Lonchura striata: one gene and its partners. The protein of the gene in region 4 interacts with the protein of the main gene of each other region in a pairwise test. Links are inferred from orthologs where the notes say so. Each region holds a gene or a part of one and is shown on either strand. Other genes may lie near its edges. The genes, in order: PCSK5, KDM8, HAT1 and MEOX2.

Region 1 (7,918 bases), on a different chromosome or scaffold from region 4:
TGAAAAGAACTCAGGATTCACTTACTCATCCTTTACAGGATGCTGTGTCAGGCATTGAAGACAGCTGACAGAGATTCCTGCTTCCACCATTCTTCTTTTCTCTCCATGCCTTAGCCATTCATTCTAGCTATGCACTGTGTATTATCAGTAAAATTAGTATGGCTACTGGCACTGTCAACTAGATCTCTGAAATAAAAAAATAAAAAATAATAATAAAAAAAAACAAAAAGAGAAAATAAAAGGAAATATACAGTTAAAAAATAATGACAGTTCAGATTAAAGCCCTAAGAGATGCATTTGCACAAATGGGAAGACAGCAAATAAGTATGCTGGCACAGGCATCAGTACAAGAAGTCTCTTCATGTGGTGTAACAAACACTAGCATCATTTCAAATTATGCCTGTCAGCACAGCCATAACTATAATGAGGGGAGAGACATTCTTTCAAAAAATTGCAATAAACACAATCAAAGATGTAAAGGTAAGAGGGACATTCTGTTCACAGGGTGAAAAATAGACAGTGCAGCCTTATTCATAAAACTAGAAGGAAATCTACATAATACCTGAATAAGGCAGCATCAGTCCAATTACCAGGAAAAACCCAGAGACACACCTGTTCCTAGATCCAGACATAAATGCTACTGCTTTACTGCCAACAGACAAGAAATAAAGGATCATTCCATTTGATTCCTTACATGAATCACTGAGCTTCTGACACTGAGCTCAGGATAAAATTGAGGCTTGGGTTGGAGCACACCCTGACAAAGCCAAATACCCATTCCAATTTCCTTCTGTTCATTCCTTTGTGCCACCCCAGCTTCTTTACCCCACTTGAATACCTTTACCTGTCCTGTCTCTTATCTCCTCTACATTCAGGACAAAAGGCTTGCCTCCTTGGTATTTCCAGAAAGTTAATTAAAGTCTACTGTCAATTAGCATGTTCACTCCCATCGTGACCAACAAGAAGTGGGAAGAGAAATAAGAGGTCATACTTTGCTGTGGACTGCATACAGGGTTAGATATACAGACCCTATAGTCTACACACTGGGAGAGTGAGAGGTATCCTAGTGAGAGGAGTGAGCAATCTCAACAAATTGGCTGCTGAATGTAAAAAAAGTGTCTAATGTACAGGTGAAAACTCTCATGCAAAAATTGGACCAACATAGGTGACTTTTCATGAGAACAGTGAAGTACTCAAAATACATACCCTGCTTCAAAGCATAAAGAGACAGGTATTTATCAGGAACAAACCTGTTAATGTACTTAATTATATGGAAAACCAGTGTTTTATTAAAAACCAAACTAAAAACCCCAAAACTTAGTTATATTCAAAATGTTAAAATATGTAAAATCAGAGGCAAGCCTTAAGCATGGAAAACTGGAGATCAAAGAACTGTATACCAGCAAATTGGATCATATGGTGGCTGGTGTCAAGTGACCTAGCTGTACTGTTTATAAAAACAAGTAAAAACAGTTATGCTTGAAACTGAGGAAATCTAAATTCTCCTTTGGATTCCAAAACTATCCATCTTTCTAAGTCAACCTCTAAACAAGTCCTTGACACAACCTCCACTCTTCGGATGTTTCCTTTGTTTCATCTACTATGGCCCAGACTCTCCCTCTCAAAGGCTGATGAACATATATTCCCAGTTTAGTCTTAAAATAGACTGTGTTCTGGAGTGTCTTCAGGGACCAGCACATCTGCTTGCATTACTTCTTCCTATAAGACACTGAGCTACCACTTTGCTTAAATTTATATTTTCTATGTGATTTCCTCCTTAATTATGACTCTGGGGTGGCTAACACATCTCTGGAGCACTGATCTGCAAAACATACAGGAGTGCTAGAAAGCTGACATAAAGGACAACACAGTAAAAAGGCTGCTGAAGCTGGTGAGCCAGAGGGATTTTCAGGCTGAGAAAGAACTAGAAAGGAAAGAATAATTTCTGGACTAGGTAGGCAAAACAGCAAAACAAGAGGCAATTAGAGCACATAAGAGAGAAGTGAGAACAGCCACTGAGGTCAGATTCTGGATTGCTATCATTTGGAATTAACAATAGAGGAGGGATTAATGGATTATTATCAATAAGTAAAGGACAAGAGAGAGACCTGTGGAAATTTGCATTTTGAGCAGTCAGGCAGATACTGACTTTTGTCATAAAAGAGAGGCAAGAAGGGGGTGGAGAGGTGTGTGTGTGTGTCTGTTAACAAGAGGCACCAGTGTAACAATAGTGATAAAATGGATCAAATTAGTGCCCTTACCAAGAGGAGATAAAAACTTTTCCAGTGGTGTACAGAGAGACAAGTTATCAGGTCTCCCACAGAGCTCAAAAGCAAGCCCAGCTACCAGCTACATACAGTCCACATATAGCAGGTACACTGAATAAAACTCCCACACTGCTGCCTCAGCCCCCTCAGTCTCTCCACTCCCCTGGTATATGAAATGCCTGGCTCTTTCAGAAAGGAACAGAATACGGCATGGCAGGGGTTCTCACCTCTTTTTTCCTTTTTTTTTTTTTTTTTTTTTTTTTGAGGGGGTGTAAGGAGTGAAGTCCCTAGGGATTTTGCTTTGATGAGGTATTCAGCAAAACTTTACAGTCTGGAGTTCATATTGAAACACACTCAAATATTTCACAGCGCAACCAATGTCCAAATGTTGCCACACTAGCTATAATTGCCATCTAACACAGTGGCCTCAGCAAAGAGGACTATAATCACAGAAAAAAATGTCTCTGGGGACTACACCCCGCCTCTTCCAGAGGCTGTTTTTATGTATAGTACAATTTTCACAACATTTTTGTTATACTGTGCAATATGATGCAGCTTTATGAAAAGATACTTACAGACAATGATGTATTTATCAAATCAACTGATTCCTAGTGACTTCGGTGCTTTGTATAAAACACCATCAAGTGAGACAAGTTGGAAGTAAGTACATGACAGTATGGATTTTCTTTGTAGTGTGCACCTTTTGTCCATTATCTGTAGCAAAAAATATGGCAGTCAAAACAATAGTAAGATTATCTGAGAAAAGACCAGAAAAAAATTTTTCAATTTATTATCTTCAGAAAAACAAACTGGGGTTGCATAAGATTCAGGTGTTGTGACCCATTGATTGCTATTCACTTCTATAGAGCAGATATTAATGATTAAGCATAATAAGCAGATATTGGATAAGAGCTGACTTGTGTAATTATCATTGAACCAATGAATTAGGAGGGCTAATTGCTGCATTGCTAAGGCTAATTGCTGAGGGATATTTAATGTCATATTCAAGGAATGTGTATTTTTGAATACACATAGCAACAAGGTGTAATTGCTTGGTCCTAACAGCTACAATTCATACAAGGGCCTGCTGAATTGAATGAGTGCTGGCTGCAGTTTCAACAGAGGAACAATTTGCTCAACAGTAAGCCACCATCTGTGAAATCCTAGGAAAGGCAAGTTCCCATGAATTCTTAAATGTACGAACAGAACTTAACAGTACATTTGAATATACTGAGAAAATGATCATACAAACTACAAAAGAAAATACATAGAAGAAGCAATCTCTGGAAAATAAATTATTGGAGACATCAAACAAACAGGGAAGCAAAGGATGCATTTTCCTTCTTTCTATTTTTTAAAAACTATCAAAAGATGTGGGAAGACATTAATCACCAGTATAATACCCATATGTAAGGGAAAAAATTAATGAACATAAAGCAGAGAATCACCGGAATTGGAAAACATGGCTTTCTATTTCTACTTTTCAAGGGAAACAGCTGCTTTAAAGGTAGAGATGTAGGTTTTCATGGAGTTGAAAAGGAGCTCCATGTTATTCTATGATCTTCTGTAAAGCATTTAATTTCTCATACTTCAGGGAAAGTGACAGCTGCCTGACTTTTGCCTACTGTCACCTTTGCTGACATTATTTTCCTCAGAGAAAATTCACAGATTTACATTAGTGCATTGCAATGTTACTTCTCTTGTCCAAATTCCTTCAAAACTTGCAACAGATCTTCACAGTAGGTCTGTTGGACCGATTATTTCAACTTTCAAGCAAAACAAAGTAGATCTACAGGTAGTCCAAAGCTATTATGGTGACTCAAATGCTTAGACCATTAAACAACAAGCTTGGGATGGAGTGGACATGAGCTTTCTCCCACCCCAGCCAGGCACTAGCCTGGGACAGCTGCTGATGATTAGCAGCATCTTCTCTGGGCCCAGAGGTGCTCTGCTTATGGAAGCAAGCTGCAGATCTGTAGCAACGCTACATACATAGCTACATGGATGAGGGAGCAGTGGGAGCTCTGCCTTCTCTGTCTGGGTCTGGACCACTGCTCCTCTGCCAAAGCAGCAGCCACCCCCTTTTCTTTTCGAAGGTGGTGACCACGGACAGACGGGCTGCATTAAACGACGACGTGCGATGCGTACGATGTGCGGCCAGCAAACGGGCACACGGCGCCTGCCGGAGAGGCAGCCGTGGGGCTGTTCCCGTCCCGCCCGGCAGCCCAGCAGCTTCTCCTGGGCAGGCAGGCCGGGGCAGAGCCGGAGCAGCCGGGGCTGTCCCGCGGCCCCCCCTCGCCCCGGGCGCCCTTTGCCGCCGGTGCAGAGCACAAGGCCCTTCCGCAGGCCTCGCCTCGCCGCGCCCGCTGCAGCCCCGCTGGCGGCGCGGCGGCCGCCCGGCCCGGCGGGGGCGCGGAGACAGCGCCGGGGGCGGCGGCTGGCGAGACCAGCGGTAGCCCGGGGCCCCGGAGCGCAAAGAGGGAGGTAACCCGGCGCCGACACGGCTGCCATTTCCCCTGGCCTTCGGCGCTGAGGGATTGAGGGCGGGGAGAGGAGGCGGAGGAGAAGGAGGAGGGAGGGGAGAGGGAGGTCGTCGAGTCGGAGCGCACTGAGGCTCGAAGCTGCCAACACTCACACATCGCCTGCCGCCGCAGCCGCGCTGCTCCCGGGCTCCGGAGAGAGGGAGCGAGTAGAGGCGAAGAAAAGCCAGACGCGGGAGAGGAGGCAGAAGACCGCTGGCAGAGGGAAGGAAGTCAGAGAGGAGGGAAACGGAGGGAGAGGGATAAGGACCCCTCCTCCCCGCGGAGAGACGACTTCCCATGTAGCTAGGGATAGAGGGAGAAGCTGGCGCTCAGGAACAGTGAGAGAAGCTCTCACAAGCAAGTTACTTAATCCGGGGAGAGCGGCGGGAAGAGGGCACAGCAGTAATCACTGATCAGAAGCACTATTCCCAACCCCTCATCATTTAAGCCCCGGGCGGTTCAATGCACTACTCCAAGCTCTTCCTAGTTTCTTCCTCGGGCTAACTTCGGAGGACGTACCGCCGGAGCGGCCCGGAGGGGAGGACAAGGGCCTCGGAAGAAGGAAGGAGTTTAGTGGGGGCTGCCTGCGGAGGAGAAGATGGGCTGGAAGCGCCGCTGTTGCTGGGGAGGCGGAGGCGGCGGGGACCTTCTGTGCCGGCTCACCCTGGTGCTGGGATTCCTGCTGCCCGCCTGCAGGACGCGCCTCTACACCAACCACTGGGCTGTGCGGATAACCGGGGGGCTCCCGGAGGCCAACAGGATAGCGAGCAAATACGGATACGTCAATATAGGACAGGTAACGCTGGTCACAACTCCTTCCCAGCGGGCAACCGGCGCTGCGGCCGCCCTGCGCCGCCGGGGCAGGGACGAGGGCGAGGGCGAGGGACGGGAGGCCCCGCGGCTGCTGCCCGGGCACGGCCCCGCCGCAGGCCCCGCCGCCGCCGCGGGGCGGTCCGCGGAGCCGCCCGGCTCCCCGCCGCGGGCCCCGTGAGGTGATGCGCGGGGACAGGTATGCCGGGGAGCTCGGGGTCGTGGCCTTCCCCTTCGAAGCCAGGTGTGAAACGGGGCGCGGGCCAGGGAGCCGCCTGCGGGGCGGGAGGGGGAGGGCATCGGCGGGGGGCGTCCCGCCGCGGCTCTGCGCTCCGCCTCGCTGCGGCTGAACTTTGCGCTCCGCGGCGGACAGCCTCTCGGCGAGTCGCCTCTCCGAGCTGAAAAGAGCCGGTACGAGACGAGCCGGCAGCCAGGACGTGGCAGCCGCGGCCGCCGGCTCGCCGCAGCGCGCTGAGTCCCGACCCCCGCGCTGGCGGGGCGTGCGGAAGGAGGCGGTGGCGGCGTGTCCCGGGGCGGCTGCCGCGCGTGCGGCTGCCCGCGGCGCTCCGTGGGGAAGGAGAGCACGCTGCTGGGGCCAGGGCACACCTGGACTTGGCTAGATCCAGACGTCACCACGTCAGAAAATTCTTGTATCCAGGCAGGTTAGGAAACTGAAAGTTAGCAAACACCTGGTTCTCACTGGAATGGAAAATGCCCCACTTCTACAATTAGGCACAGTTCTTTTTAAAATATCCTAACTTCACTTTTTCTTAAGGAGTTTATACTCGGTGTTCTAGGCTTTCCTCGCAGTTGTTCTCAAAATCCAAGTTGCATATGTAGGGTTTACAAGGTGAGTGCCTAAAAAATAAACTGTTTGCATGTTCTGTTGCATGCTTGGGTGCAAACATCCAAGTACATTCTTTCTGGACAGTAGTTTATTCTACATGAATCGAAAGGTTAGAAATGAACATTTACAGGTACAGAAGGCTTCCTTTTATACATGAGATTTACAAAACCGTATCTGTGTTTACACTCCAGGCGTTTCATATCAACCAAACCAAAATAAGACCTGATTATTATTTTGTTTTAAAATGGATTCCCACCTACTACATCATTGAATCAAAAGTTTAAAGTACATATCAATTGCAAGCCTGAAAAAGACAGCTGGTTGGTCAATTAAGAGAAATAATTTACATGAGAAAAACTGGAAAATGTCACTGGGGTATCACAAAACGTGATGTGTAAGGACGCAGTTACTTAGAGTATCAACTTCTCACGTAAGCAGACAGGCAGTACTACTTCCAGCTGGAGGCACTAAAATATGGGAGGAAGATTGCATGTCAAAAGTGAAGTACTACTTTGGAACTACAGTTTAGGAATCAAAATTTTTTGCATCGGTTTTCTTTTTAGTCTTGAATGTTTTTTGTTCAAGATGATTTATTCCTATCTGGGCCCTTATAGTGGCAAAATTTGCAACCATTGGTTGCAGGATGCGCCTGTCCCCATTTTTTCTTTTGTCAGGCTGGCTGGTTAGCTCAGAGCCTGCCTTTTTGTACTTTGCATATGTAAGCCATGTCTTGAATTAAGGAAAGAATGTTGTAAACCTCTGTTGTTTCTTATGTGAAAGTGTCTATATACAATTACAAAATACCAGTAATGGATAATACAGATTAGGTATACAGATTAGGTATACAAATGAGAATGAGAGAAAATAGAGACTATAAGTAACTGAAAATTGGAAAATGCTCTATTAGGTATATGGATGAAAAAAAGAGTAGACTGTGTTTCTAGGTAAAGATGGGTAAACGGAGTAAGGTACTAACTTTTGGAGAAAGGGAATCAGGAACAGTTTGGACAGATGAGGTGGACTTGTCCATAGCGAGCTTTCTTCATAGATCTGAAAAAGCAGGAAAATACTTGATGCAAAACAGGAAGTGCAAAAAGAAGATCAGAATGGGGCAATAATCTGCTGGTTATTATTGAGCAACAATTGCAAGTAATTAAAAAATTTATTTTGAGTGTGATGTTGAAAGATATTTTCTTAGCTGAATATGCTCTGAAAATAAGAGACACCAATAAGTAGAATTTTCTCATAGAGTTATAGAATAGGCATAATATTTTTGGTTACATTAAATTTATGAGCTCATCTATATAAAGAAAGTGAAAAAAGCTAAATCAAAATTCCACTGCAGCTGGTCCAAAGGACTAACTTACAAATTATCCAGAAAAATAACCTATTGAAAATATTAAAGATAAGTAGTGAAACTGTATAAAAATGAAAGTTTCAAGCCAGGAACATTCTGACAACAGTAAATTGCA
Region 2 (8,168 bases), on a different chromosome or scaffold from region 4:
TTACCTGATCAAAAAGCTGGTGCTGGGCAAGGTATCCTACATTGTTCTGAAATGACAGCAGAGAAACAAAAATCATAGTAACATACAGGTAAGACAGTGGATTAATTTACTTAGAGGTGAATAGAATTTACTTAGAGTAAATTCCAGTGTCCTGTTCAGAGTACTATATATAATTATTTCAACAATATAAGGTGTCTTCAGATATAGCAACTTACAGCTCCATTGAAATTGTGAGAGTGTAGGTGTGTCTCTACAATGAATAAATTATCCAGCTTGAGTTACTGAAGGAAGCTGGGACTCCCTGTGGAGTCTTGACAGCTGACAATACGCTGCATCTTTCTAGCCAGACCCTGCTGGCACACAGACCAGTTCTCCTTCACGCTCTGGAACTACTTCCATACTCTATTCCGGGGTGCACCACAGAGCAATTTGCTATGGCACATAGTCCTTCCTGCCAGAAGGCCAGGAAACAGAAATTGGGGTTTGGGATCCTCACCTGTTAAAGGACATTCCAGACTTCGCTAATCAGCTTTGTATTTTTCTGCCTCATGGCTTGTAAATCCTAAATCTCACTAAGCAGCTTAATGAGAAAGAGGAACAACGCTGCTGGCTGAGGATCCCTTATTCTTAGATTCGACCAGTCAGGTTTTTGCTACATATGTATGTGTGTATATATTAATCAAAATCCAGCTACTGTACATTTAATTATAGGTAAAATTCAAACCTATCGTTGCTATAATTATTCCTAGCTTCACGTCTTAAAAATATGTCAAACCTTTTAATTCAGAACTGTGCTTACAGCACACCCCCTCCCTTGATATGACCTCTGAGTAGGTTTGTTGTAAGCAGAACTGTTGTCTTTACCAGTACCACGGTGCTGTGTTTGGAAATCAAACAAACAAGTGTAACAGACCTCATCCATGATATACTGGCTGATGAAGTCACTGACAGTCATGAGCTGCTGAGACCATTCCTCGTCTGTGTACCGAGCACCCAACTCCACTGGGACTGTGCGGCACCCTGCGACTTGACAGAAATAGTCCACACTGAAATAAAGAAAGTTCCATTACCTTCTATACTGCTCTTACTAATTTTGAATGTAAAACAATCAATCCAAATCAATCTTGTTGGGTAATAAAATTCTACTACCCTGAGTTTCTCCTGTCTAAACCAAACCAACCAGAATAAAAAGGCAGAATAAAAGACTGCAAGCAACAAGGAGATCAGCAGGCAGGTTTGTGTGGACATGACCCCACAACTGTCTGTTTTGTTTTGGTTTAAAAGCCTGTTTGCCCCAGTTGTTTTCTTCCAAACGAAGAAGATTTAAGCTGTTACTGTCTCTTGGGAAGGGATGGCCAATCTTTTTCTGCCTGCTGCTACATTTCATAAAATCTTGTATCTTTTACTCAGTAATATTAGATCAACTCTCTGTCAGCAGGTGCCAATAATACCAATTCCAATTGTAGCCAGAGGGGATGAGTTTGATGGGTGAAATACATCTCTCCATGGACAACTGTATTAATTAAACTGAGAAGTTAATCTTGTTAAGTGTCTAATCTTAACCAGTACAGTACCTTCCCTCAAAAATGAATAAAATCTCTATGACATAACAAGTGTGTGCACTCAGTTTTATCTTTGGTTGTTGAACTAAAGCAATTATTTAAACTAAGCATGAGTGATTTTTCCCCTTTTCTGGGGAATCATGACCTTCACCTCAAAAACACTTGATGCTCAATGTTGGAAATGTGGGCACCATTGTGTGCATTAACCAGGCAGCACAATGCTGTTACTCAGTCCTGCACAGTGGTGTCTGAAACTCAACACTCAAACACAACACTGGACAAACATCAGTGCTTGGACTTATGAATGAAAAAGTCAACCACGCTTACTCTTGGCTCTGAAATTCACTTTCCATTGCAGTAATTATTGGCAAGCTCCAAGGGGTAAAAAGCACTGATGTGTGTTCCTTGACACATCCACTGAGCTGTGAGTAGCCCAGTGGCACTTTGCAATGTGCACGTCTCGTGAGTTCCCAGGTGTTGCCATTGGGCTCCTGGGACGGCTGAAGGCTGGGACAGCAGAAGGTGGCCTTCACCCACGAAGAGTCAGAGGCTGGTCAAAGAGTCACCTTGGCCCCCAGACAGTCCTGCACTGAAAGCTATGAAGAGCTTCCCTCATCTATGAAGCAACTTCCACAGAGCAGTGGGACTGTGCTGCTAGCAAAATGCACTGTCCATGGTATCCTTTGCCTGTGGAGGTCTGCCGCTCTATCGAGCATCAAGATACCCAACACAGGGAACGATCGCGCCTTAACTTGGACAGGGAAGAAATTTACTTCTCACCTCCACTTCTTCATACAGGGCCAGTGGTCCATGACGCCCTCCAGGACCACAGGCCGCTGGGGAAGGAGGTAGTTGTCTCTGAAATGCTGGAGCGAAGGGCGGCGGAGGCGCGGAACGAGCTGCTCCGGCCGCAGGGCGGGCGGCGGCGCCAGCCGGGGGCTCGGGAGCGGCCGCTGCGCCTCAGCGGCGCCCGCAAGGGGGCGCGCGAGGCCGCCCGGGGCGCGCGCGCGGGGCAGGTGCGGCTGCAGCGCGCGCACCAGGCGCGCCAGGACGTTGTCCAGGATGGCGGCGCCCATCAGCAGGCCCAGGTCGCAGAGCCGCACGGCGCGCGCCAGCGGCCGGCCCGCGGCCACCTCGGCCAGCGTCCCGAAGAGGCAGCCGTAGGCGTACACCTGGCGCCAGCCCTTGCCGACCTCCCTCCATGGCCCCGCGTTCAGCTTCTCCCAAGAGTAGTCACGCAGGACGTCGCCGAGGCGCTCCAGCGCCGCTGCCGCTGCCGTCCCGGGCCGTCCCGCCGCGCCGTAGAGCAGCGCGCGGGCCCGCCGCAGCAGCGGCAGCACGCAGTCCTCCACCTCGCCGCTCAGCGCCAAGGTCAGCCCGTCCTCGGCGCGGGGCAGCAGCGCCCGCACCTCGGCCCACAGCGCCAGGCTGTCGTTCGCAGCCGCCGCACTGCCGGCCGCCGCCATGGCCGCGCCTGCGCCGACGGCCGCGAGGCAGCGCTGTCGGGCCGGCGGGGCTGAGGCGGGGCCGGGCGCGGGGCGGTGCCCGGAGGAGCCGGGAGCCGAGCTTCGGTCGCGCCGGCGAAGCTCGGATTTGTCGTTCTTACCTGTGACTTGACCAGCGAGTCAGCTGGAATTGAGTGACTGTGATGGGCGCTGCTTTCGCAGGAAAGGGGAGCCCGTAGACGCGGTGAAGGCCACGCTCTCCGGCCGTTCGCCGAGCGCCGGCGTGAGGAGGCGGCTGCCTGCGCTGGGGACAGCGGAGCGCAGGCGGTGAGTGCTGAGGGAAAAGGGAGATGCGCTCTTCCCAGCCGACCTTTTGTGCTGCAAAGAAACGTCTCTGCCCGGCGCTCGAGGAGCCCGAGCGGAGCCCGGCGCGGCCCTGAGCCCGTGTCCTCCCGCTGGCTCAGCTGCCTGGTGTTCATCTGCTCACAGGAGCGCTTTCTGCATGGAATATGCACAAAACTCTTCTTACTTTCTAACGTGCTGGACACGGCATCACTGAGCCCCAACTTGCTTTGATAATGTGACCTGAACGTTCTCAGGGCTTAATACTTGACTACAAAGGCAAAACAATATTTTATTTAAAATTCAGCAACTGAGGAATGTTTTAACATGGTGAACCAAACTAAACCACCATAACAAGAAATGAGGAATTTTTAGTTGCTAGTTAGGGTTGAAGTCTTTGGATTTGAGACAAATCCTAATTTACAGAAAAAGTTAAAATCCTTATTTTCTGTACTCAGATACCCGCTCTTCTTTGTTCCATGCTCAGTCACTAGTGCTTTCCAAAAAGGAAAAAAAAAAATTGATCTGAATCCTTCTGTTGCTGCTAGTGGTGGCTCTCCCCCGGCCCCCCAGCTGTCTCCTCGAAATTATCACTTCTGCTCTCACACTTCTCACACTTCAGGCTTGTGCATTGCTTATCATGCTGGCCTGTCTGTTGCCTGTCTTCTGACTGCCTTTCTCTTGGCATCTTAAATTCCTTCTGTGACAGTGTGATTTTAGCACCTTCATTCAGTATTTTCTCCTTAACTGCTAAATGTTAATATATGCTGCTGTAGGAAAAAGTATTTAAGTGGCAAGGAGATTTTCTTGTTAAACCCTATGTTCATTATTTGCAATTTAGGATGCTAGCAAGTGTTGTTAGTCTTGTGTCTGTGGGCTGCCCACTTTTTATAACCATTTACATTGACATTTATTTGCATTTAGTTAAGTAATAGTTTTTGCAGTTTAAATATGAATAATATTTTCATTAGTTTCATTTTGAAGATTAGGATTTTTTTTCTGGAATTTCAAACAACAACAAGGTCTGAACAAGTAATCTCCAGCACAGCAGTGAGGCATTGAGGCCATGATGAGCTTTATCAGTTTCACTTCAGGTGATTTTAGTTTTTGAGTATTCAGGGAGGCTCTGTGAGCGTACATTGGAAGACAATTATTTCTAGTCAGTTTTGGTGCAATAGTTTGAATTCTGATACAGCATTGATAGCCTTGAATCACAGAATCAACTAGGTTGGAAAAGACCTTTGAGATCATCAAGTCAAAGCTGAGACCTAACACCACCTTGTCACCTGGACCACTTCCAGTCTTCTTAAACACCTCCAGGGATGGTCACCCCACTACCTCTGTGGACAGCCCATTCCAATACCCTATCACTCCTGTGAAGAACTTCTTCCTAATGTCCAGCCTAAAACTTGTAGTGCATCTTAAGACTGTGTCCTCTTGTTCTGTCAGTGGTTGCCTGGAAGAAGAGACCTACCCCACCTGGCTACAAATTCCATTCAGGGAGTTGTCGTTGCAGTTAAAGGGGCTGTATATCTGCTGAGCTAATAAAGCTCAGGTCTTAGGGTGTGTACTGAGTCTTGTGTGTTTGGCCTCTTGGAGGAAAATCCACTAAAATCTCATAATATCATGCTGCATCTTAATAACTTGGTTGAAATTGTCCTCATTGAGGGAAAAAAACCCAACAGATTTGCAAATGCTGAATTGGGAAGTTTAGCTCTCAGAGCAGTTAACCTTGCAATAATGCATGCTAGTTTTGAAATGCCTGTAAGCTACTGCAGATGTTTTGTGTGAGCTGCCTGACCAAGGAAGTGGATGACTTCAGTGCTAGACATTTCCATTTTAGGTCAAGAAGAGAGAATTTAATTCCTGCTGCCAAAGAACAAAGATTACTGTCATGTGTCTAACCTGCAGAAATTGATGGGAAAAAGAGTTCCATGGATTATGCCACAATACTGAAACTTGTTTTTATCAGAAGTAAAAATTTTTTAAGATTGTGGAAAGCAGACTGCCTAACCTTGTAGAAAATGTTCCCTAAGGCATAGAAGAAAACTTGGTTCCCTGCTGCTTCCTGATTTACAGTCTGTGCTTTTTGTTCTCTTTTGTATTCTGTGTATTTTTAAATATGCTTCAGCCATCTCTTTTTCTCCTTGCATGGACTTTCAGAAAGAAGTTATCTATTTAAAAAAACCAAATGAACAGGCACACAATTAAGGGAGATAATGCCATCTGTATACAGATAAAACTATCTGTATTTCTCTCCTATTTACAGTGATAGATTCCAGGACCCACAGTTGATGTTACCTTATGTGCTACTGGTGAAAAAGTGATTAGTTACACCAAGTATAAAAAATACACTCTATGTCTTAGTTTGCATTTGTCTTCATTGAAAAGCATATTGGCCAGAGAGTATTTGCCCTGTCTAGAATTTAATTTTTTTAAAAAAATTATTTATAGGAGTATTCTCCTTTATAGCAGTCTTTACTCATTTGCTGATTAGAGTTGATGAACAAAGTCCTGTGATTTGTTTTTGAATTTTATTAAAGTTACATCAAGACACTTGCTTAGTGGTTCGCCACTTAAGTCCAAAGTAGGATGTTTGTATTAGGTGGATCAGTTTTTAAAATGACACCATCTGCTTGCTTGTACATATTTATTTGATTCTTCCCTAGGCGAATGTAGCTGAAGTCTGGTGAGGAATAGCCAGTTTGAATTAGCAGATAGAGAAAGCATTTTTTTGTTCTATGAAGGAGTGTGAGGCCAGGAGTAATAAAAACTAAGTAGATGCCCCAAATATCTAAACACAAGTCAGTATGTGTAAATTGCTTGCAGTGGTGAATGGTGAAGTCATCTCAGATGGGTTGCCTTGTCTGGAGTTCTTGTTAAAGATTAAACCTTCTTCAGTGCAAAATCATGTCTAGCAATCCAGAGCCCAACAAGTAACACTGAAGATTTTCTTTCTCAGGACTCCAGGATGCTGCTCAGCTCCTCAAGAATGCCATATCCCTTTTGGCAGCCTGGCACTCTGGATTTTATACCCTCCTTAAAGGGAGGATGGCAAGAAGATGAAGCCAGGCTCTTCTCAGTGATGCCCAGCAATAGGAAAAGAGGTAAGGCACAGAAACTGATGCATAGGAAGTTTCACCTGACCCTGAGGAACAGCTCCTTCACTGTGTGGATGAGATGTCCTGAACAGATTGCCTGGAGTGGGTGTGGAAAGTCCCTCACTGGAGATATTCCAGAATGTACGGCACACGATCCTGTGTCAGGTACTCTGGGATGACTCTGTTTGAGCAGGGGGGTTGGACCAGATGGCCCACTGTGGTCCCTTCCAACCTGTACCATTCTGAAATTCTGTACCATGGAAGGTGATCTGTTGCCGTGTTTCCAGGGCTTTTGGAATGCCTGGGCATTCACCAGCCATCGCAGCAGGTAAGTGCCTGTCAGTGTTGGCAGTGTCCAGGAGCAGGGATGAAGTGGGGACAGGCTGATAATGCTGCTGCCACCAGTGCTTAGGCTGTTTTTGCTTCCAGGAGTGGTTGACTGGTACCTTCTATGAGCAGTATACACAATATACTCACTTAACATTGCCCCTGTGCCCTCCCCACCCATGCAAAATAAGGTAAAAATGGAACCTAAATGGGAATATAAATTGATGACTGCTATGAAAGCCATAGATGGCTTTTATTTGCCTTTACAGGAAATGATTATCTCCTCTTCTGCAAGAACAAAAGTGTGAACACATAAGACTAAAGATTTTGGATGTCTTTCCAGGTTGCTTTTTCTGTTCCTCTGAACAAGAGATGAATGATTCTGATTAAAATATGTACAGAATTAATTATTAAGCAAAAGTTTCCTCAGATGAGCAAGGTCTTCCTGATGGAGAGTAACACAGCCCTATATTTTCATTGTGTCTTGGAGTTGAGTGTAGATGTGCCGTGACAGTGTAATGATGGATATATCTTTATCAACCTGTTCCCTGAACTGTTTTTATCACTGCCATCTGCTTGGCCGAGAGTGGCAGCTGCCAGGTCTCACAAATAGTGCTGTCATGTACTTTCATGTAGAACAACATATTGTAATTTCCCTGATATTACTAGATGAAATAACTTTAAGTGAGATAAGGTGACATTTTGCATGGCACTTTGGAATGTGTCTCATTGCTTTGGGTATAGGACACACAGTGTTCTTTCTGGAGCAAGCTATATCAGCACACCCAGTTCTACTTTCAGAAATCACTGGAAAATACTTATTTTACAAAAACATTACATAACATCCATCTGGGACATATGTGTCTGCTGAGATGCAACTGAGGCAGTATTGCTTACACATGTAGCCTTAGTTACCTTTGCTGAATGGAAATTATGTAAGTTAGACTATTTTAAAGTTCTTTTTCCTTATATCAACTTGAATCCCTTTCATATTTGCAAATAAGCTCCTTCAACATTAAAGAAAACATAAAATCTTTACAGCTGTCATGAATGACTGTTTTAAGGTTGCTTAAAGAATCACCGGAGAAGGTATCAGAAAAAGCATGTTTAATATGAAAGCGGAAGCATGAAAAAGTTTGTTCACAAGGTTACTACTACTTGGTTTAAGAACTAGAAAAAGCAAACTAAAGTCTAAAATCAATCTAAATCCAGATTCAACTCCAGAATTATCTGTGTGAAGGCTGGGGAGTGGACAGGGAAAAAGGGAAAGGGTAGAAAATGACAAGGATAAAAGGAATAAGGAGGACCCTCCTTCTGAGTCACAGGGTTCAGAATGGACCTCTCTGCTAAACTGAGCTAAACTGGGCCTAAACATAATGAACAGTTTACAC
Region 3 (7,807 bases), on a different chromosome or scaffold from region 4:
CCATGATAATTTGTTAGAAAATCTGTTCTTTTATGTTTCTTACTCAAGTCTATGGTTAGCAAACACCTAAAAGGTAACTTATTTGATGGTGCACAGACATGAAATTTCAGTGCCTGCATTTCATAGTTAAAGGATTAAGAGAAATAGCACATCTTTTTAATGCAAATCAAACTTTATCTTTTTAACAGTTTAAAACAATTAGAAGAAGCAGATAGCACACCTCAAAAATTCTGAAGAGAAAGGTATATACTCAATGTCCTTTAAGATACAAGGTACACTGCACGGCGAGAGGGCACGTATCCCATTAGAAGACGTGCATGAACAGAAGGAAATCTAAGGAGACTCTCTATGATTAAGGTGGATGGTGACGAGGCCTAGAGCTCACATCTTCCCTTCTAACCATTTCCAAGGGAAGCCAAATTTAGGAAGGAATGCACGACCTTTAGCTGAAGTTCAAAGAAGAGACCAGCACTCTCAGCAAGGAGTACAACATATCTGACCCCTAAACACTTGCAATATTTCATAACAAGACTTTCTGCAACTCAGTCTTGAAAAGAATGATTCTCCTTTGTTTTAAAGTCTGCAAGTAAGTTTGATTTCTAAGCATAAAAAAAACCCACAATTTCAAACTCAACAAAACATAGAAGAAATACAAACTCTTTTTTCTATGCCTTTTTTTTACTGCAAAATCTCACATACTCAAAGAGAGAGAGGAGAGCTTCTTATTTTTCATTTCTCAGAATATCAAACAATTCACAACTTCATTTGCATGTTTCTTTGAAGAAAACAAGACAGCCATGGGGGAAGCCTTTTATTTTTAAACAAACTGTCTGGTTTTAGGTCAATAAAACACCAGCCAGTGATACAATGTTCTTCCTCTCTGCTGTTGTCTGTATGACCACTATCAAGAACTTAATTTCCCTATTTCCAGAAGCAAGAACTTCTACTGACTGGATGTCAAGAATCATAAAGAATTCACATTTACAACTGAATAATGTTTTGACACCTCATTTTACTGTTTTTCATTCAAATGTGCAAAAGTATTTTGCGAAAAGGTGGAAAAACACGTTCTAGAATCACATTTTTATACTGTATTAATATATATTTTAAAAGATAATACTTTTATGTCACTAATTTTAGTAACATACTCTAGTGTAATCTTTACCTACAAAAGCTGAATGCCATGTCAATCAAAAATGAACCTGTGTTGGAGTATCTTTTACTAGAAACTAAATGTTGAGCTTCCACAGTTTGATGCCAGCATTCTAAGTATTTGCACTCCAGCAATGTCATAGTGTAATCCAGTATGCAAAAGAAAAGGCCACCAAAATTACGGCTGGGATGCAACTCCTCTCTCTCAGGCAAAAAGCTCTCTCTGACTACTTATCATATACGGAAATTGCTAGATGGTATAGTAGAACCAGAAGATACATATAAATAGTTAAATAACAGACTTTATTATTTACAGTATTAACTCTAATTTTATAGTCCTAAATTTTTAAATAGAGAAAAGCTTCCTAAATATGCTGTGTAACACTCAACATTAGGGAAAAAAACATATTTTAGTCATTTTGAAATATTGGTGGCCCTATTATGGACCTAAAACATAGTTCTTGTTCTTCTTATTATTCCATATGACTGATTCAAACTTTATCGTTAAAGTTTTAGGATTGACTGGATCAATATCCTAAAGTTTCTGATTTTTTTCCTTTCTGATCGCACTTTAGTGAAACTAAGGGAATGGAGAAACCTTCATGCTATTATTTATGTATGCTAATTCTAAGGCCCTGCAAGGGATAATATTGCAAGACATATTAATAATGAGAAATCAATTTTAAGTTCTAAAAACACTCCTAGTGGTCCAACCATTTGCATGAACATATATAAATCCCAAGGACAAAACATACAGTCGTGGAAGAAAAATTTTTTTGATTCTGCAAAGGTGCATTTAAAAAAAAAACAGCACTTCATTATAATTATATGCTTTATAGAAAATTAGAAAATAGTTCAGGAGCTTATTTAATATGGTAATTTGGAAATGGTTATCACACTTTTTGCCAGCAGCAGGTTCTCCTCAATGCCTGACACCCCGTCAATACACTACGCCTGCAAAGTGAACTTATAAGTGTGCCACCAGCACGACACGAGTCTGATGCCACGGTAAACTGCTGAAAGAGCAAAACACCGAAGTCCGACACTCAAACAACATTAGATCTTTTTACCTGCAAAAAAATATTCCGTAGTTCAGCGGGATCCGCTCTTTTGGTTGAATGCACCTGTAAACACAAGCAAATGAATGCTTCGCTTAGGCGGGCTGCTGTCAGATCGCAGAGCAACCCGCCGCGCCGGCCGAAGGCGGCAACACGGCGTCCCTCGTCAGACCCACAGGCCCAACCTCAGCCGCGACCGCGCCGCGCCGCCGAGGCACGGCACGGGGCTCCGCGCCGCTGGCAGCTCTCAGCACGGCGCTGGCTGCGAGCGGCGCCCGGCCCCGCAGCACGACCGCCGCCGCTGCCCCGGGACCCCGGCCCGCGCCCCCCGGGGCACTCCGGCGGGCGGTGCGCCGCCGCTCCCCCGGGGCCGCCCCGCCATCACCGTTCCCCGGCCCCCGCGGGAATCCCGCCGCCCGCCTGCCCCCGGCCCCACGCGGGATCCGCCCGGCTCCTCCTGCCACCAGCGGCGGAGCGGGAGAGTCACCTTGACCGCCATGCTGCGCCCGCCGAGGAGGAGGAGCCAGCCGCCCGCCGCCCGCCGCGCCGCCGCAGCACCGCCGCCTCAGCGCGGCGCTGTGGGGAGAGCGCCCTGCCCCGCCCCGCCCCGCCCCGCCCCGCCCCGCCCCGCCCCGCCCCGCCCCGCCCCGCCTGTGGGTGCGCGGAGCGGGAGCCTGGTAGCGCCTCCACAGTGCAAAACGGGGCCTCTGAATGCTGCCGAGTCTCCTTGTGGCGCAACACATGCAGCCGTGTCCCTGAGGGTCAGCAGAGGTGTGCGTGTACCTGTTGGTTTCAGGTACCGAAATTGTTCATAGGCTGGTGTTCTGGCAGCTTGGCTGCAAGTCGGTTGTAGCTCTCTATTTCAAACATAGAGCTAGAGGCCCAAAATCCGGCTGAATTCACTAACTTCTTACAAGGTCTTATAATCCTTTATCAGCAGAGCACACATATGCTTTATACTTAAAAATAAAAAGCATGCAGGCCGAAGTCTTAAGAAAGGGAAGGTTTATACCTTATTCCAGCAGTTCAATCATGGTGCTTATAAAACCTGATTTAAATAATACTTCATACTATGTCTTGCTGTGCTATTTCAAGGGCACAACAAATTGTCTTTTATTAGATGGCACTGGAAAAAGGTAGATTCTGGTACTCCTCAAATAGCACAGAGAGATATTAAACTAAATACAGTAACTGGTAGCTTACAATGGTGGTCAGAAAACAGTGACTCAAGTTTAAAACAACTTTCCTCTGGTAAACAACATTTTAATTACATGTCAAAAAAAAGGTTTTCTTAAGAGTTCATATACTACATATATGCCTATGTCCCAGCTGACAGCAGAAGTTTTGCTAGAAATCTTGCCTATTTGGTAAGCATCTGACCACCCAAGTATGTTGTTCAATAAAGCCATATGTGTACATGCTTAGCTGCAGGGTGTTATGGTTTACCCTAGCCAGCAGCCAAGCCCCACACACTCACTCACTTGTTCCCCCACCAGCAGGACTGGCGAGAGAATTGGAAGGGTAAAAAGTAGAAAACTCATAGGTTGAGAGACAAGCAGTTTAATAGGAAAAGCAAAAGCTAGGCAGACAAGCGAAGTAAAATCAGGAATTAATTCACTGCTTCCCATGGGTAGGAAGGTGTTCAGCCATCTGCAGGATGGCAGAGCTTCATCACCAGTAGTAGTTACCTGGGAAGACAAACATCATCGCCCCAAACATCCTCTCCCTTCTTCTCCTCACTTTATAGACTGTGCAGGATGCCATCTGGTCAAAAATATCTCTTTGTCACTTAGGGACACCTGTCCCAGCTGTGTCTCTTCCAACCTTTCATTCAGCCCCAACATCCTTACCACCATGGCAGTACTGGCTCCATGTACGCCCTGCTCAGCAATAACAAAAATATCTGTTCAGCACAAATCCCAGAAAACACGGAATAAGCTGAGTTGGAAGGGACCCTCAAAGATTGAACCCACCACCCCCACACAAGCCAGTGTGAAAAGTAATTCTACCCCTGTCCAAACCAGCACAGCAACTCCCACTGTGCATCAAAAGCCAGGTCTCTGAAAGAAAACGGCAGAAATCCCACAATAGCTGCAACAAGCAGTTCAATATAGAGAGTTTTATTTTTTTACTAATGACAGAGCTCCGGCTGTTTGCTCGGCCAAAGCGTAACTGCAGCAATGAGCAGCGAGGTCTGAGAGTGAGGAAGGAGCCGGCAGCCGCAGGGTCCGCGACGCGCGCGGAGCCGCCGCACGTGACAGAGGCGCGAGCAGCTCTGCGCACGCGCGCCGGCCGGCCCGCGGTCTGGGGTGGGCGGGGCGGGGCGGGGCCGGTCACGCGAGCCAGCGCGAGGCTCGAGGCGGTGCCGGGCATGCGCGCAGGCTGCGCGCGCCGCGCGGGGCAGCTATTGGCTCCACGCCGGGTTTCGGCGGGCGGAAGCGGAAGCGCCTGCGCGCGCTCTCATTTCCGGCGGGCGGGCGCGCGGGTTGAGTCGCGGCGCGGGGCTCGGCCATGGCGGGTGAGTCCCGGCCCGGGAGCGGCAGCGGGGCCGGTCCCAGCCTCGCCGGCACGGGCAGGAGAGCTTAAGCTCGGAGCCGGCGGATGCGGGCGGACGGGAACAGGCTGTGAAGGAGGGGAGCCCCTCTGCCCCTCTGCCTCTCTGCCGCCTGACTGCCATGGTCCTGCTCCTGCGTGTCTGCGGGCTTATGGCCCCCACGGTCTGGTAGTGTTAGACCAGAGAGTGTGTCCGTGGCCACGAGTGTGCTGGCGGTGGGCAAAGAGCTAAAAACCCGAAAGTGTTTTTACTTAAAGTTTGCTGCCTGAAGTAAGATGCAGAAGAACTTTCTTATGGCCCTTTGAAATGAAGCGGGGGTTATGTTTGTGAAGCACTTGGAACATACCTGAGGTGAAACGTGTCTTCTGGCCTAGATTAGGCTTTGGAAATCACATGAAATACAGTGCATTTATTTGCGTTTTTCTTCCACATCCGTTCCGGAAGAGTAGTGCTGGTTAAATAATTGCTAGTGGTGTACATGCCACTGTAGTTCATTAATAGCAGTTTATGAAACTGACTTAATGCAAACACTTGAAGTGTGTTGACACGTGTTATTTATAACATGTTATACTGAATTCTTATTCAGTATTGCATGTTATAAGTAGCACATATGAAATATATATTTAATTTGTAGTAACTTAGAATACTTAATATTTTTATGGTAATGACTTTAATTCTCAGAAACTAAAATGAGATACTTGTATGTTTTCTAATTCCAGAAGAGTGTGTGAGACAGCTCTCTTTATCCTCTGTATTGATGTGTTGTGGCATGTTGTAGCTGTTTTAATCTTTCTTGTTTGGTGGTCTCGTGTTAAGTGTTTTTTCTTGGTTTATGACCCTTTTTCTAATATATTTTTTGAGTAATAATGACAAAGAGATTGGACACCTCTTAAAAAAATCTCTTTTTTTTCAGGACTTACTGCTATGGAGAAGAAGCTGGCTGAATACAAGTGTAATACAAATGAGGCGATTCAGCTGAAGCTAGGTAATACCACTTTTTAAATATTATACAAGTGATACTGAAGTATTCTGGTGTCTTTCTGTGAAATAGATACATGTATACATCTGTGTCAGTTTCTCAGTCCTAGTCTGATTACTGATTTGATACTCATAGGTCAAGTAACATGAATCCAAATTGTATAGGATGCCTTGATATCATTTGTATGCCACTCTCACATAGTTTCTTAACTAAAGTTGTCTGACTCTAGTGGAAAGGTGTGTGAACAGCTCGCAGGGCTTCTGTGGATAAACAGATGAAAGGTGGTGACTTGGTCATGCTCTCTTCTTTTTATTTTCTCAGTTCGCTTTCCTGAGGATTTGGAGGATGAGAACACAACATTTAATCCAGAGTACAGCCATCAAGTGTTTGGAGATGAGTAAGTCAAAGTTTCCAGATTTAAACTAATAGGTCCCAAAGGACAAATTTGTTTCCAAATAATTAAAAACCATAACATTTTGCTAATATGGAGTGCAAGATAAGAAGTGCTGGCCTGGTGCTGCTGCTACATTTACTGGCACAGGATAGGACGCCTCTGGCCTTCGTGCACCTGGGCACACGCTGGCTCACTCGTGTTCAGTCAAGTGTCGACCTGCACCCCCAGCTCCTTTGCTCTGTTCTTCCCCAAGTCTGTCACTTGTGACCCAAGTCCAGCAGTTCAGCACTCCTGTCCAGCCTAGTGTTGACTGCAGCTGACTTAGGGAGCATTCAGATCACTGATAAGACATTAAATGGGACTGTCACTGAGCCCTGGGGAACACCACAGGGGAACAGCTGTCGGGTGCATTTGACTCCATTCCCCACCACTCCTTGGGCATGGCCATCCAGACAGTGAAGAATGCCCCTGTTCAGGCCATGAGCAGCCAGTTTCTCCAGAGGAATGCTGATATCAAAGTCTTCCCTAAAGTGTAGGTGAAAAAGTATTGTTTCTTTTATTTTGAGCATGCTGAATTAATTAGTGCTGAAGTGTCATCTATTATTTTCAGTAGAGTGATATTCAACAATCTGGCCATAGATTTAAAAAAAACCCAAAACAAACAAACAAAAAAAAACAAACAAAAAACCCCGAAACAAACCTAAAGAGAATCCACCTGTATGTTTCTGTGGACTTCAAGTAGTTGTGTTTCTTAATTTCAATTTCCTTTTGAAAGCATTCTTAAGTACTTCAATTAGAATGAAATACCTGTATTAAATGTAATAAATTTGTTATACCAATAGCATCATTGACAATAATTATAATTTTAGTAATCAGAGAATTCTCCAATCTGTTAATTTAGCTAAGAAGGAAATTCTTCTGGCACTTAACATTTCAAATTTTAAATTATGAATGTACTACCATAAAAGAAAAATCCCAGTAAAAAAAAAGTTTCAGCTATGCTTCAACAACAACAACAAAAAAAATTGGCCTGTTTCTTTGTGAACATTACTATTTTCTGCATGTGTTTTCCAGAAAAGAAATTCTCTATTCTTCATAAGAGTATCGAATTTGTGTTCAGGCAGCTCGTATTTTCAAACTGTAAAAAAGGCTTTTGTATTCTATACTTCTTTTTGCAGGTACTAATTTCTGGTTAGATTGGATAACTAAATAGAAACTGTCAACCAAAAACTTCACAAATTGCTACACCTGGTTATCTGTGCTTTGTACATTATAGATTGCAGTCGTTTACTCCAAAATATTATACTACACTGCAAAATAATTTTTAATAAATATTAGCAATCAATTAATGTAAATAACTGTTAATGAGTTAAAGCTGTTGAAAAAGCATAAACACAGTATGAGCTGTATTCTTTCCTGTCACAGTAAGGACACAGGCACTGCCTTACTGAGCTCAGAGTATTTCCTCTAGAGGAGCGAAATAATAGAAGCAGTGTAAGGCATTACCTCTGTCTGTATAGTACACATCCAGTTTGATTCCCTTTTCCTATTAGGAAGCTTACCTTACCTTACTGGGAAAGATTATGTGAATCTCACATGAAATGAAGCAACTGTGATGTGAATGTTTTGTTATGTATCAAGTTCCTGGTTGTTATTTTTTCCTTTCTCAG
Region 4 (8,055 bases):
AAGCACAGTCATTTGTCTTAAAAAAAAAGATTAATGAGAAATAAAGGTGATGATGTTTAATCAAATGAGGGGCAATTATGGATGACAAATATAGAAACACAGCAAATTAAAATAATTCTTGCTGCCATATATGAGAATAGCACTAAATATCTAGCACCAGAGTTCAGGACTAATAAAGGGGTGGGGTTAAATATTCAGTCCAAAACTCAGGCTTTTCCTGAAGAAAAACCAAACATATAGCAACTATGCAGCTGTTGTCAAAAGACATCTATTTTCAGTTTGAGAGATTCACAATTGTGTGAACGGTCGTATTTTTTTCTTAGCGGAAGGGAGAAGGAAATAGTTACCTGCCTTGATCTTCAGAAAGACTTAGAAAGTGAGGCTCGAAGTGCATTGCAAGATAAGCATAACCATGGCTAAAGGCTTGAACTCTTGTCCGCTAATCCAGTGGAAGGCTCCAGTCACTTCAGGGTAAGGTTTAGGACATTCCTCACTGGTGTTTTTTTTTTGTTGTTTTTTTTTTTGCATTGCAGAATGAAATAAACAGAAAGTGATTCGGATACTTCTCTGACAGTGAAAGGGACCAATTTCCTTTTTTCCTTTAGCTTTAAATAGACCAACAAATACAATAAATCCTTACACCAGCAGGCATCCAGTTATTTTCTCAGTTGTAACAGGGACTGTTCATACACCTCACAAAATCAGATAAATCTTTTTCTCATTGAAAGAAGACAAACACAAAGATTTTACCAGCAGTGTTTGAACTAAATACAGCTTTAAATGCATGAGTTTTTAGCAGCTACACCAGCTACGTAAGACAAAATGCAGATAAATACGTTCTGAATTACTGTAACTGTTAGTATTTGCTAATGTAATGGACAAGGAAGGAAGTGATGGTATTCTTGAGGGTTATTTTTTTAAATCCTTTTTGTTGCTTGCGCTTGGCTAAGCTTACAGCATTTTGAGTGAAAGGTTATGGTTTCAGTTGTGAACTTCATACATATCTGGAAAAGCCTTTCACTTTCTCTTCTGTGATAACAAATAATTTGCTACGCCAGCTCTTGAGTTTTCAATCTGTTGAGCCCTCTCTCTTTCAAGTGCCTCCTGCCTGTCTCACTATATTTTTGGTGACCCCTCGGTTCATGTGTGCCCTAATGGAAGTCCCATCAGTTGCGTTGCCTTCGCTGAGTGCCTTTTGTCAGATCAGGACTTTGAAAGGCTTTGCTATTTTAGAAAGCAGAGATAATGTCAAGGTTTTTTGCCCATTCATTGATGCCAAATCATCAGTCTGGAATGACTGTGGGTCTACATGTTTTTATGTAAAAATTACTGTGATTTTAGAAGGCAGACTGCTCCTTCATTTCCTCTGTCCCCGCCACCAGAAAACTGAAGTGAAGCAGCTTTCTGAAACTCCCAATCACCCGTTTGCTTCACAGAGTCCAAATTTTGCCCCTTCACGCTGAGGATTTCAGAGATCACTCAGATCCTACAGGGATCCTCAGATCCTACAGGGTAGCAAGGCATCAGCTCCTCTCCCGAATCCCCGCTTCCAAGGCAGAGCTTCCAAGCGTTGTGCAATCGCCTCGGAGCCGCAGTCAGCTCCGCGAAGGGGCGGAGGGGAAGGAGCGCGCTGGATTCTGAATTTTGAAGCAGAGGTGTCGTATCGGGCAGGGGGGAGGGGGCCGCGGGACCAGATGCTGAAAACCGCACCAAAACTACAAACGTTTCTCTCTGGCTGTAGGAAATTCTCCCCCCGCCGCCCCACCACCACCTTGATTTCATACTCTATCACGTGCTGAATTTTTTCTTTCTATTTCTCCCCCCGAAGCTTTAATAAAGTTTGCGTTAGTGATGGAGATCCCCAGAGCGCGTTGGAGGGAAGGAGCAACCCTGCAGCCGGGTGTCAGCCGGCGGCGAGAGCACGGCGGCGGCCGTGGCCGGGCGAGCCGAGCCGAGCCGAGCCGAGCCGAGCCGAGCCGAGCCGAGTGGCGGCAGGTCCGCGGGGCCCGACCGCGCCACTTCCCCGCCACCCGGGGATCCCGCCCCGGCTGGGGAACGCGCGAGTTTTTACCTGAGCTGTCGCTTTTCCTTTTGCCGGACCTCTTCTCTGTTTCCACCGGGGACAGAGCCTGCCTGCCATAGTCCCCTGGCGCACACGCTGCCCCCGTGGGGGTGTTGGTGCCCAGGCTGGAAGAGTTCGAACACAGGACAGGGGGGCTGCTGCCCAGCTCCGGGGGTCCTCCTGAGTCAGGCTGAAGGCAGAGGCTGTGCCTGGCCGCGGCGGGAGGAGACGACATCTGAGGAATGTGCCAGTTCGTCTGCAAAGCTTGGTGCTGCTGTTGCTGGTGGTGGTGATGGTGGTGATGGTGATGGTGATGGTGCCCCCTATGATGTTGGCTGGCAAACATGCCCTCCTCATTGGGGTATCCCGCTATTATGCAAGAGGAAGAAGAAGAAGACAGATCAGGGTAGGACATGTGGTCAGATCTTCCATGCAGTGCAAGAGAAGACTGGGAGAAAGGGTGCAAGCTCTGCGCAGTGGCATGGGGGCTGCGCAGGCAGCCAAAGAGTGTGTGATCCATGGCATGCAAGTCTCAGGTTCCAGGCAGGAGAGTTTAGGAAAGATCCAACTTCACCACCCTTTGTCAACTTTCACTGTAAACAGATCGGGGCTGGGATTTTTTTTTCCAAAACGGCACCGACAGGCTCTGCAGCAGGCAGCTGAGCTCAAATAATCCAGATCTTTAGCCCTAGTGGCCAGTCTCCGCTGCATAAACACTCGGACCTAGATGAGCCGTTCTCAGAGCTGCTCAGATGTCAAGAAGTGGGAGAGGTTGAAGCCAATAGAAGGTGGTCCCAGAGAACTGCTTGAAGGGGGAAACAGCTTCGAGAGGTTATAAATACAGTAGTGTGTAATGTGAGCTGGGGGCTGGCTCAGCAGCACAGCACTGACCACATGCAAACTCCCTCCAAAACGCCAGCGCCGTCCCCGCGCCGAGCCGCTCCGTCAGCGGGCGGCAGCGCTGCGCGCCCGCGCCCCGGGCGCCCGGGGCCTGGCGGGGGGGCGGCTCCGCGGGGGCGCAGCCCGCTCGTCCCTGCCCCCGCGGGCCGCGCCTCCCCGCGCGGCTGCCCGAGCCCCCCTCGCCGCGGCCGCACGGCCCCGCAGGCCATCACCGCCCCGTCGGGGCCGACGGGCCGCTCGGGGTCCCGCCGCCCCCGCGAGCGGCGGGCGAGGGAGCGCAGTAAAGACGTGAGGCGACGTGCGGGGGTGACTCTGGGGCGGGGGACGCGGGGGCCACCCCCGTTTCCCCGTTTCCCCGGGAGCTGAAGTGCTCTCGCCAGCGCCTCACCTGCGAGCCCAGGTGCGAGGGCGCCGGCGTGCGGGGCCGCCGGCTGCGCTCCCCCGCTCGGAAGGTGCCGGCGCGGGCCATCTTCTCCTCGCCCGCGCCCACCGCCCCGGCACTCGCCACGGGCCGCGGCGCTGCCCCGGCTGCCCTCCACAGCCTCACGCTGTGCCCCGGCATCGGCGGCTGGTTCTGCAACGAACCTACCGGCGCCCACCGTGCCAGCAAGGCTGGCTGCACAGAGAAGTTTCCCCTCTTGCCCTCTGCCCCTTCAAAACAAGAAGTCACATAACGTCTATTTGCTTTATCTTCATTTGCTTCGTTGCAAATGTCTTTAGTGAATTGGGGAATAACTTGGAAAGTTTGGGCCTGTCTTTTTATTTTTTTTTTCCTTTTTTAAAATCATTTTTTAACATGCGCGTAGTGGAATTACAGTAGCCACCAAGGCGTCTCTTAACTGGTTTAAATCAGGATAACGCATTAGTGATCAATGACCAAAGAGGTGCCCACTGCTCAGCGGTTTTATTCTCCAGCTCTTCCTACTCGATGTACCTTGCTCCTCCTTCCCCCCAAAACAAAACTATATTAAAAAAAAAAAAAGTAGAAAAGGGAAACCATTTCTCTCAAGTCTAAATTCTTGGGTCCATGTGCTAAAGATAAAATGAATTTCAATTGCTAGTGGAAAAAATCAGCAATTGTATGACTTTTGTAAGAGCTAGTTTCTTAAACGGAAATTGAGTCCTATTTTGTGGGAAATTAGTTTTGCAGACTTTCTTAAAAAAAAAAAATCTAAAACTTTTGTTCAGCAGCTGCTCCGCTTTTCACTGCAGTTTCAGACTGAGCTGGAACCTGCAGCAGTCTTTCGACGGTAAGATTTCCCCCCTTTTCTGACATCTAACTCTTTTTAATAACTGTCTTTAGATTTAACTGTAACATCGCGGTCTTTACAAAGAGAGCGGCGTCCAAAGCAGAAGTTGCTGCCTCTGTGCACCGTTCAAAACTTGATATTTCTTCAGAATAAAGGAAATATACAGTTACAACACTGATGAAATATTTTGTGCTTTTCATTGTGTTTATCGTTTCAATATGTGTTCTAATATTAGAAGAGAGGAATACAAAGAAATCTCGATGGCTGAGCCCCTCTTGAGTTTGGGAACACGCCGGGCTGGCAGCACAGGGGTGCTGCTGTCCCTCACAAACAGGAGCAATAACTGCGAGACAGCGACAGGCGCGGAGCGTCGCGCCCGCCGCGGCCCCGGCGGCGGCGGCCCGAGGGCTGCGGGGGCGGGCGGCGGCCCCAGGTGGGAGCGGGGGAGCGGCCCCGGGCACCGCACCGCTCCGCTCCGCACCGCACCGCACCGCACCGCTCCGCACCGCACCGCTGCCCTCCGCCGCTCTCCAACCTGCTGCTGTCCGCCACAGCTACGGGGGCGAGTCGCCGTCGTGGGGGCCGGGGCCGGAGGGGCTGGAATGCCAGCACCCCTCCTTCCAGGGCCGCTGCTGCCGCATCCCTCACACAGCCACAGCTGTGAAGAGGTCGGGGAAGTCCCGAAGCCAAGGCGGTGTAAAAATGCCTTCGTTCTAGGGAATGGCCATGCAGGATTTCTCGCACATGACCAAAAGAAAGGAAAAAAAAAAAAAAAAAAAAAAAAAGAAAGGAGTGAAGTGAAGCACAATGAAGAAAGTGAGAGGGTTCGAGAAAGAGGGAGAAAGATAAGGTTTCCAAGAGAAGTAAGAAACAAGCCAAATAAGACATTTTAGGGAGAGGCAGAAGAGATTCCAAAAGGTGAAGAGAAGAAAAGAAAGAATGCAATAGCAAAGCTATAATGGCACAGCTCCGTGTTTGTCAATAGCTTCATATCCAAATCTGTCTATTCAGGAATGTGCTTCCCTGGGCTTCTGAGTTTCCAAATAAGTTCATAGGTCCTATATCAAGTGTTCTTATTACTTCTTTAAAAACCAGTGTTAAGCACACATGAACTGGATATGCATTTCACTGCAGAGCTTTATGCTTTCATTTCAAACTATATAAGGAGAATGCAAAAATAGGCAATTAATGTGAAGGCAAACAAACAGCTTCAAACACTTTCTGAAATTATTCCAAAAGTTTCTGTGCAGTTACCAAATACCTATGGCTATATGATAGCATCCTTTGTAAAAAAATTATAACTTTTTAGTTATAACTTCAGTGTAAAGCTTCTCAGTAATAGCAGAATAATTACTGGAAAAAATTGTAAGCAGTTGCTGCCTCTCAATATTAATGATTGAATTCTTGTTTGCATTGTACCTTTTCAGAATGTGTGTTTAACCTACATGTGGTACAAAAGCATAACTTAAATCAATGCCAGCAAGTTTGCCCAAAGCTTATAAACATCAAGTGAAAAAAATAGAATGTTTTAAATATGTGAAAACAGTAAACTGTTTAACTCATAAAAACATCTGGAGCCAACACAGTTTGGAACATCCTTTATATTTTCATGTATGGGCTACTATTTGCATTCACTTTGTGTTTCTTGGTTTTGCTGGTGGGTCGCTTTTGGTTTTTTAACTTACCATTCATGGGGAAGGAGATCATGTAAAATTGACCTGAATGAACCAGTGTACAATTCCTCCTTTTCAGGACTTTTGTAGTCTTTCTGATTTTTTACGTTGGAGGCTGAAAGAACCACCTTCCTGAATATTTATCAGAATGTAAGTAGGATTCTTGTCAGTTCTTTCTAGTGTGTGGTTTGCATATTTGCAATATGCGTATTACAGTAAAATCAGATAGATAAGTCATATTTGGGGACCATTTGAATTATATAAGTTGTCATAACTTTGCTGAAGTCAGCAAAAGGATGGCAATTTACACAATTTAAGAATATTTTCATTACTGTCAAAGGGAAAGCTTACAAATATGAATTCAGTTTCTTTTAGCCAAAGTTTTTATTGTACCCAAGAGCCTACCAAATAAGAGGACAGAGTTCTATTCTACTGTAATTATGATCAGTTCGTATTTTTTCATGGCAATTTGGTCAATGCAGGCATCATTCAACCTTAGAGTCAATCCAGATTCACAACAGATGTATATTTATTTTCAGTCTTTTCTTTTTTTTCCGAATTTTTGCCAGTTTAACTCCCTCTGAAGCAATATAATTCGTTTCTCTTGGTACCTGTATGGCAATATAAACCCACAGATATAAGCAGTAATAAAGCCTGGGGATTATGCATTATTTCAGGGATGCTTGAATGCCTTAACTGAAAATCCTAGCAAAGAAAATGAATAATTGTTCACTGACTAGTCAAAAATACTGAATCTCTGACTAATTAAAATTGAAAATAATCACATTTACTATTCTAAACCTATGCTGCACCAGTATCTTTACAATACTTCATCATAGAAACATTTTTTTCTGATAAATTGCACTACCACAATTTTAAGATTGCATTTCTGTGGTATATTTCCATTTCACTCTCTATAGCGCTTACATGTGCCATGGTTTAACACTTATCAGACACAATTTTTGCTTTAAAGACAAATACAGATCTGTAAAAACTTTTAAGCCTGAATTAATATTTCCAGCTACTTCTCCCACATACATATGGCTTCTGTTCTTATTTTCATGATCTCCAAGCATTACAAATTTTAAAGTTATGCCAGCAATTTAGTATACTACAGAAAAGTTGTGCTGAGCCATGAGGCCCTCGCTGAAAATGATTTACAAGTTTGCATTACATCATTAAAAGTTATTTGAATTGCCAGCCCACTGTAACCAGTAAAATATCTTATGCTTCCTATTTAATTTAAATAAACTGATGAAATATTAAAATTCTGAATGCACTTGAGGCTTCACACCTGAACTATGCTGTTTCAGGAATGCTTTTAGAATTTGGGAAGCTATGCATTTCACATACTATGGGAAACTTGCATTTCACATTAGATACCCAAAAGTCCCAGAAGTCATATTCAAAACTTTGGAGTGTGTTTGTTTTAAATAAATAATTTATTTGAAAATTGAACAGTTTTGCACAATACATTTTTTTCCCATTCTGCTTGTTGCATTGTAATTAAACATTTTTTTAATTCTCTCTAGTATTATCTCCACTTAAGAATAGTTGAACTAGAAAACAGCTATGACTAGCTTTGTCGGGCACTTTAATAATACATATCTAAATTTGTATTTAGAAGTGTACTCAAAATGCATATGCAGGCAAGTCAATAATACCTGAAGAAGATGTTTTCCATTTTGTCGTCCCCAGATCTTGACAATTACACGCTATGCTCTGTCCATTTTCCTCATAAAATAAGAGAGGGAGAAAAAAAGGCTTGTGTTTTACACTTTAAGCATTTTATTGTTTGATACAATTCAGATTGTGGATTTTGATCTGTATGTGTATTTAAAAGACATTTCACTGGAGTTGAAAATACAGACACTATTGTGCATGGAAAAAAGGTGAAGGGCATTTTTATAATTCTTTATTTTTAACAATGCTTGCTTCTATCTATGCTGTAAAATTAATATTGTGTTGATTATACTTCAAGTCTGAGTCACCCAGAATAAAAAATACATATGATTGAAAACTTTGCGTATCACAGACTTAAGCTGTGACTTACATCGATTAACCGGGTAAATACGCAGTAGGCTTACAGTAACAAAACCGAAATAGAGACAAAAACATACCAAATATCTGAAATATTTATTGTCTCCTGGCTGACATTTCCAAGCCCTTG

What was found.
Region 1: the proteins of MEOX2 (region 4) and PCSK5 interact in binary tests that used the Homo sapiens proteins (3 or more experiments, as listed by UniProt). The two-hybrid records come from large-scale screens. The link is inferred for Lonchura striata from reciprocal best matches to the Homo sapiens genes MEOX2 and PCSK5.
Region 2: the proteins of MEOX2 (region 4) and KDM8 interact in a two-hybrid assay, tested with the Homo sapiens proteins (2 studies listed by BioGRID). The two-hybrid records come from large-scale screens. The link is inferred for Lonchura striata from reciprocal best matches to the Homo sapiens genes MEOX2 and KDM8.
Region 3: the proteins of MEOX2 (region 4) and HAT1 interact in binary tests that used the Homo sapiens proteins (3 or more experiments, as listed by UniProt). The two-hybrid records come from large-scale screens. The link is inferred for Lonchura striata from reciprocal best matches to the Homo sapiens genes MEOX2 and HAT1.

Annotation. Positions count from the first base shown.
Region 1 is NC_134642.1:69,633,144-69,641,061, reverse strand, and holds the start of PCSK5 (proprotein convertase subtilisin/kexin type 5), read left to right. Parts: upstream 1-4,850; 5' UTR 4,851-5,387; coding exon 5,388-5,585; intron 5,586-7,918. UniProt on the Homo sapiens protein: Serine endoprotease that processes various proproteins by cleavage at paired basic amino acids, recognizing the RXXX[KR]R consensus motif. Likely functions in the constitutive and regulated secretory pathways.
Region 2 is NC_134618.1:17,463,730-17,471,897, reverse strand, and holds the start of KDM8 (bifunctional peptidase and arginyl-hydroxylase JMJD5), read right to left. Parts: upstream 3,029-8,168; coding exon 2,343-3,028; intron 1,047-2,342; coding exon 914-1,046; intron 47-913; coding exon 5-46; intron 1-4. UniProt on the Homo sapiens protein: Bifunctional enzyme that acts both as an endopeptidase and 2-oxoglutarate-dependent monooxygenase.
Region 3 is NC_134610.1:20,438,906-20,446,712, forward strand, and holds the start of HAT1 (histone acetyltransferase type B catalytic subunit), read left to right. Parts: upstream 1-4,636; 5' UTR 4,637-4,721; coding exon 4,722-4,728; intron 4,729-5,677; coding exon 5,678-5,749; intron 5,750-6,064; coding exon 6,065-6,140; intron 6,141-7,807. Other genes in the region: SLC25A12 (electrogenic aspartate/glutamate antiporter SLC25A12, mitochondrial), read right to left, coding at 2,223-2,276, 2,698-2,709. UniProt on the Homo sapiens protein: Histone acetyltransferase that plays a role in different biological processes including cell cycle progression, glucose metabolism, histone production or DNA damage repair. Coordinates histone production and acetylation via H4 promoter binding.
Region 4 is NC_134603.1:128,046,717-128,054,771, reverse strand, and holds the start of MEOX2 (homeobox protein MOX-2), read right to left. Parts: upstream 3,035-8,055; 5' UTR 2,583-3,034; coding exon 2,072-2,582; intron 1-2,071. UniProt on the Homo sapiens protein: Mesodermal transcription factor that plays a key role in somitogenesis and somitogenesis and limb muscle differentiation. Required during limb development for normal appendicular muscle formation and for the normal regulation of myogenic genes.